Linked DNA regions of Xenopus tropicalis. The protein of the gene in region 1 interacts with the protein of each later gene in a biochemical or structural test. Links are inferred from orthologs where the notes say so. Each region holds a gene or a part of one and is shown on either strand. Other genes may lie near its edges.

The links.
Region 2: the proteins of irf1 (region 1) and spi1 form a complex in vitro, tested with the Homo sapiens proteins (2 studies listed by BioGRID). The link is inferred for Xenopus tropicalis from reciprocal best matches to the Homo sapiens genes IRF1 and SPI1.

Annotation. Positions count from the first base shown.
Region 1 is NC_030679.2:36,223,176-36,226,086, forward strand, and holds part of irf1 (interferon regulatory factor 1), read left to right. Parts: intron 1-47; coding exon 48-224; intron 225-430; coding exon 431-477; intron 478-591; coding exon 592-706; intron 707-1,254; coding exon 1,255-1,374; intron 1,375-2,597; coding exon 2,598-2,638; intron 2,639-2,751; coding exon 2,752-2,878; intron 2,879-2,911. UniProt on the Homo sapiens protein: Transcriptional regulator which displays a remarkable functional diversity in the regulation of cellular responses.
Region 2 is NC_030680.2:15,892,346-15,896,879, reverse strand, and holds the start of spi1 (transcription factor PU.1), read left to right. Parts: upstream 1-1,572; 5' UTR 1,573-1,715; coding exon 1,716-1,748; intron 1,749-4,534. UniProt on the Homo sapiens protein: Pioneer transcription factor, which controls hematopoietic cell fate by decompacting stem cell heterochromatin and allowing other transcription factors to enter otherwise inaccessible genomic sites.

The DNA.
Region 1 (2,911 bases):
TGGTCTTGGTTTATTCTCTGAAAATATTTTCTTTCTCAAATCTGCAGGACGTATTAAGTCTGGTGAGAAGGAGACAGACCCTAAGACTTGGAAGGCCAATTTCCGCTGTGCAATGAACTCCCTGCCAGATATAAAAGAAGTAAAAGACAAAAGCATATACAAAGGTTCCAGTGCAGTCCGAGTGTATAAAATGCTCCCGCCTCAAATAAAGGCCGAGAAGAAAGGTAAATGCTTATTATGAGCCATATGTCACCATGCATCAGAAGCCATTATGATTTCAGGTGCACACATATCTTACATTACAGAGCCTGAAAATTAATATTTTTAATAAGATGTATAAAAGTAATGTCCTACCTCTTTTTGCTTTTGGGTTTGCTGAAAATTGTAGTTCAGTGCTGGAATGACCCTGGATATTTTATTTCATTCACAGAACGCAGATCCAAGGCAAAAGACTCCAAAAGCAAAGCCAAGAAAAAGGTACAGTTATTTCTGGAAATAGCAAACCAATGCTTTGTCAGAAATGGCTATAGGCATATATATATATAGCAGCTACTTGTGGCTTACGTGTGTCTGTTTCTTATGTTGTTGCAGACTGAGGAAGATGAGGAATCTGTGAAAACTAGCCCTTTGCCTGCAGACCACAGCTACACCTCTAATGTGTATACAGACCAAGAAGACATGGATTCTGTGGATGCGGCTGTAATGAGTACGTTTATACTTTATTGCATAAAATAAGTACAATTATTAGGTCATATATGAAGCGAATATGGGTGGATTTCGCTGGAGCCAGCTTACCTCACTTTCAGCATGTCAGAATAAGTATATACTTCTATTTAGGGCTCATGTACAAGCACAAGTCTTTGCTTTCCTTTTCTTATTTGTAGCAGCCTGTTGATAAATACCTGTTGATTGTTTGCTATGGCCAACTCAATTTGTACAAATTAGCCCCTATGTTTGTAAATCAGACCCTTGCGGTTCTAAATCATAGACTTAAACCAGCTACCAAGTAGCTATGGCATCTAGTATTTTACCCTTGGGCCCCAGGTTTTTAGGAACTCTTCCCCTTTGGCACTTACAGATTTGTATCTGGCTCATATTTCATTGCCTGGCTTCTAAAGGCTTCTAAACAGTGAACCTAGTGCAATATATATTCAGCTACTCTACCATAAAAAAATAAGTAATATATATATAATATGTGTGTGTAAAATATTTTGTGCTCACATGCAGAAGTGCTAATGTAAATGTTCTCCACAGGTATCAATGAAAGTGTCTCTGGCAACTTAGATTGGGACAGTCAACTTCAAATGCCATTGCCTGACAGCACAAATGACCTCTACCCTTTCCAGGTGTCACCCTTAAATTCATCTTCAGAAGGTAATTTGTGTGCCTGCTATGTCATATACAATATACAATTTTTATGAATGTCATAGGAATTAATGCCCTTGCCACTAGGCCTAGGAATTGAGGGCAGAAGCAGAAACAGGACCAGTTTTATTACACTGAAAATATAGCAGATCCAGTGAACCTCCATTACTATTTCATTTTAATGTGATTGTGCCATAAAAACCTAACCCCCAAGGCTGATAATGCATCTAAGGCTATTATAGATATTAGATGGAAATGGTCTGAAGCTGAATTAAATGTTTAGAGTATAAACACATTAAAGGAGAACTAAACCCTAAGAATAAATGTGGCCAGAAACGCCATATTTTATGTACTCAACTTATTGGACCAGCCTAAAGGTTCAGCATCTCTATAGAAGTAATGACCCAGTGCTTTAAAGTTGTCACAGAGGGTCACCATACTGGATTCTGTTAGAAGCATCTGCTCACATGCTCAGTGTGCTCTAAGCAACTGGGCTGCACTGGTTTCAGAGCTGCCATGCAGTAATAATTTTTTTATTTGCTAATAAGCCTTATATTTTGACCCTTATATTGTATATATACAAAATATACAAAATATTGTGAGTTGCCCCTAAGCTTAGTAACTAACAACAGCACAGAGCATATGCAGTGAATCAGCAGAAAATAAGATGGGGAGCTAGTTGGGGCATCTTTGGAAGCACAGATCTTCCCTGCTAAAGGGTTGTGGGGGCCTTGGGCTGGTACAAATCCCCAAAACATATTGTACAACATTTCTAGCTTGCTTCTAAGCTTTAGTTCTCTTTCAAGAAGATATGGGATATGACTAACCAACATGGAAAAAGGAAAACTACAGCCCCAAACACTGGAGGTCTCTATAAAAATATATTGCATAAAACAGTGACAGAGTTGCATTATTTGCATTATTTCCAGCACAAAATGGTGGCTTAAGGGAAAACATGCAAAAGAGCAATATTTACTGATATATATTGCAGTTTGGTAAGATTCTTTAATAGGCCACTAAATATGATATAAACTATCTGTTGGTTACGTATTCATTGTGGGGGTATAGTTTTCCATTAAATTCCAAGTGTTTATGCGAAAGCACAAAGGCTCACTTTGCAGAACAAGCTATGCTCATATGTTTTGCTGAACCTACATTATTAGAATACAAATATCCTCTAAATACCACTAATGCTACAAGTTATTTATTTCATTTTTTTTATTTACTTGCAGAGGAAGATGAATGTATGACCCTTACAGAGGACTTTCTAAAAGTAAGTAGCTTTCTTACATTTTTTGCTTGGCTAATGCTATATAGATAACTGTAATGATTCTACAGTATGCTAAGACATAATGTTTATCATCCATATTCCATCCTCTATTCCAGTTGTTAGAGCCAAGCACAGAATGGCAGCAGACAAGCATTGATGGCAAAGGGTTTTTCACCAATGAATCTGGCCTGCAGACCTCCTGCCTTACTGAAATAAGCTCTGCATTCGATGGCACGTTATCGGGTTCGTATATTTTTCTATGTTAATTTTCCTTGT
Region 2 (4,534 bases), on another chromosome or scaffold:
TGTCACCCCGAGTGCCGACTGCGGGATGTGTCACATTCTTGCTGGAAGTGGCAGTTTTCTGCCCCAAAACTATGGCCATATAAACATTTATAGGAAGAGGAAAGTAAAGGGGAAATGATTACTAAGAATGATGCCTGCTTCTATCTGGTGGCAATAGCCAACCAGGGGCAGGTGCAGTTGAATCCTTATGGGCCGGTATGAAGCCAGTATGGTGTAGGGACAGGTCCAGTCCCACTGTGCTTGTTATCATTAGGTATGTGGGGGCGGTATTTGGGTGTGTGGGTGGCACATCTCAGGAGAGGGGTAGGGCGACTCCTGCATGGGACCAAAGTAGTGTTAAATTGCATTTGATCAAGTTTTTAAGTTTTTCACCTATGTTATAGAATGGCCTATTCTTAGCAACTTTCCAGTTGGTCTTTATTTTTTGTATTATTTGAATTATTTGCCTTCATTTTCTGCCTCCTTTCAGCTTTCAAAAGGGGGTCACTGACCCCAGAATGCTCTGCAAGGCTACAAGGGGAGATTTGTGATATAGAAGGGGTGGGGTGATGATGAAAGAGGGGGAACTATCTCTCAAACAGGATCAGGGAAAGAGAAAGGGTAAGTTTTAGGTGGATTCTGGGTGGTTTGGGGCTTTAGGGGAGGGGCCAGAGGCTGAACTGTATGAATTGGAAAGCAGGGCTGTTGATTTCTATAACATGGTGTATGCTGTTTGGCCAGGGTCAGACTAGGCACTTGCAGCGGCCCCCCTTCCCGACCACTCCTGCCCTGACGCATTAATTTTATACGCTCAGGGGAGGACGTCGGGTGGGCCCTTCACCCCCCAGTCCGACCCTGTGTTTGTCTGATTGAAAATGTAACCCCCCCAAATATTAAAGGGGATATCAACTCTCAATGAATGTGTTGCCTAGTTAAAAAAAGTATGACTTTCTATAGTGATAATATTTACAAATAACTCTTAATCCATTGAACATTAGTAACGTGGATTGGAGAGTTGCTTAGAATTAGCATTTTCTTTCATTCGTCAAAATATTATTTTTGGGTTTGTGACCCCTTTATGGTATATAGTCTGAGGGTATGTAACCCCCAGTATAATAAAGGGGATATAAACCCACAATGGATGTTTTGCCTAATCAAAGTATGACTTTCTATAGCAACGACATTTACAAATAACTTTAAATCCATTGAACATTGGTAACATGTATATTGGAAAGTGGCTTAGAATTAGCATTTTCTTTCATTAGTCAAAACGTTATTTATTTGGGTTTGTATATTTGGGTTTGTATCCCCTTTAATGTATATAGTCTGCTTGTATATATAAAAGAGGGTCAGGTTGCTGCCCCAGATCTCTATTATGAACATAGGCAGTGTATCCATGACTATCACTTAGTAATTAGACTGTAAGCTCCCCTGCACGAATCCCTTCCTGACACACAGGGATGCATATATTGCTGTACAGGGGCCAGTTAGGAGAAGTAATGGCACAGAGAAGTTACTACTTTCCGTAGCAATATAAGGGAAGTCAACTCACTTCCCCCTTTAAATTTAAAAGCAGCCTTTTCTTTGTGTCCCCAGTATGTAGCTGGGGAGCGGGTCTGGGTCCTAGGGTTCTTCTTCAGCTCTCGGGGGGCTTCTCATACAACAGGACCCAGGACTGGAAGTGCCTTCTACAGAGAGCGGCTAATGGCTGTGATTTGATTGGTGGAGAGAACAGAATGAACTGCAAATGGAGCACGGTGCCCTTTAAGGTAGGCTGAGCTTATTGGTGTTTGAAAATCTTCAACAGTATCTCTATCACAGGGGCAGCAGCGAGGGTGCAAGGGAAAGTGAATGTAGCCAACTGGAGGGCTAGGCCACGAAATTGGTTCATCTGTATTTCTTGTATTGTTTATAGGGTTTAATAAAATTAAGTTAAAGATCAATACAGCTGTTATATGTGGTGGCCCCTTAGGGCCATGCAGGGTTCTGCACCAATCTCAGTGTTATATAATTCTATTATACCAACATTGTGCCAAACCAGAGCGCCAGGTTGTACATTGATCCATTCCATTGACCCTGGCAACCGAAAAAAAACCTGACCATTACTGTTGTACTTATTTGTTGGGTTCATCTTTCTAATTAGGACCCCCCCCCCCGTTCAAATTCCATCCTGATTTCCAAAATGATACTGGGTTGCTAGGGTAATTAAAAAATTAAGACTGATTGTAGATTGTTTTCAAATACTACTGTCTATGCCAGGGGTCCCCAACCATTTTTACCTGTGAGCCATAGTTAAATATAAAAAAGTTAGAAACACAAACGTGATCCTAGCGGGTGCCCAATAAGGGCTGTGATTGGTTATCGGTAGACCCTTGTGGATTTCAGGAGGCTCTGTTTGCAGTACACATGGTCTTTATGCTTCCAAAACTTGCCTCCAAGCCAGAAATTCAAAAATGGGCACCAACTTTGAGGCCACTGAGAGCAACTTCAAAGGGGGTGAAGAAACAACATGTTGCTTACGAACCACTGGTTGGGGACCACTGGTATACAACATACTAAGAGTTTATTTCAAGGTGAGCTACTCCATTACAGAGATTCACCATACGTCTTAATGTGCTCCTACTTGAGCTTTATGAATAAGGTGCAATTAATGGTAACATACTAAGTACAAGTTGTGTGAATGTGCCAGTCAGCTACAACTTTGTGCGATCCATAATGAAGAGCTAAGATGCTGTGCAAGCCAGAGCTAGGTGCTACAAAGGGAGTCATATATAGTCTGTCAAATGCCCAGTGTGCTAGAACAGGGATCCCCAAACTTTTTTACCCATGGGCCACATTCAAAGGTAAAAAGAGTTGGGGAGCAATGCAAGCATAAATAAGTTCATGGAGGTGCCAAACAAGGGTTATTGGGTATTTGATAGACCCTCTATGGACTGGCAGGCTAAAGGAGGTTGTGTTTGTCAGTTTTTATGCAACCGAAGTGTGCCTCCAAGCAAGGAAATCAAAAATAAGGACCTGATTTGAGGCCACTGGGAGCAACATTCAAGGGGTTGGTGAGCAACATGTGAGCTACTGGTTGGGGATCACTGTGCTAGAATGTATGGTGATTTGGACTTTGCACCAGGCACCCCTCTCATGGTCAGATTGGCCTACACGAGTACTTGGTGGTCTCGAACCAAGGTCAAGCCAATTCCCATCAGCCCTTTCCTTTTTCCACCATAGGTCTATATGACTTCTTTTTCATTAGGCACTGTCTACACCTAATTGTTGTGAGCCCTCAATGTCAGGTACTTTGTTGGGCCCAGTCCAACACTGTCCTCCTTAAATGAGCCTTTAAGTCCTGGTGCCGTGCGTGATGGCTGGCTAATTTCTACATTCAGATGATTTCAAAATGTGGTCAATTGTGTGGAAGGGCCACTGAGGCTTTCTCAATTCCTCATAGAGAGGTTTTTCCTAATTTACTCAATAATCCGCAAAGCCGCTACTCATAACATTTTACATTGTTTTATTACCCACATGAAGCTTGAAACTTTGTGTGGTTCCAGTTCAGCTACGTTCAGTGCTGGTATCTTTTCATGCTGCCCATTTTTTGCCACACCTGCTGGAGTGCTGCCCCATGCATGTTTCTCTATATGCCTTATGGTAGAAACTATACTTGTCAGACATAGATCTTGTATTTTTAGTCCATTTGAAAAGATCCTGCCTCTTGACCATGTGAGAAGAACTGACCATCTGTTGGGTTCACATTCAAAGTGAGGTTGATTTCATAACAGTTGCAAAACATGAAACATTCTTGGAAAATAAACTAGCACAGCACCTTTGGTAGGCATCTGGGATACCAGTTGGTCATGGACTTTGACTAAATTGGCAGCCTATAGACCTATATCCTTATATTTCCTCTTAGAAATAGGGCAGGGGTGGCACCATTTAACATTTTACGGATAACCAATTCAGTCCCTGGGCTTCTATATCTAACGCAAGTTCCATCATCCATGTTATTTTATGGTCTGTACTTGTGGCAATGAGCCTTTAGTTCCAGTTGGTTGGAAGCTTCTAAGTCTTGTGATCCCCCTTTTCCTCTCAGGGACAACCAAGAGGATATTGTCGATCACAAGAACCCATGTGGCATAAAGCCTATAGGCAGGTGTTTATGGGAGTACAAATTGTACTGGGCAGAGTTATGAAGCCAAATGCTTATTAGAGTAATATTAAACTGGAAAATTTAGGTCAGAGGAGGGGGCAATGCTTCTTTGTGGACCAACATTCATTTAGGATCTACTTAACCTATAAAAAAGTAAAGAAATATGTGTTCACACCATATATTATCTTAATAGTGCTTCTAGGAGAGGCAGTAAACATTAGTCCTGAATGGCACTCCAATTAGCCCTCAGAATGGCAATTTCAGATTGGGAAGGGCATTTAGTCAAGCGCAGGCCATAAACCTAAAAACGGAAGGGCAGCCAGTGAAATGTTCATAGAAACTGGGTTGGAAAAGCAAAAAGAAAATATTGACATTCATCAATTATTATTTTCCTGAGACAAATTAGAGAAAATA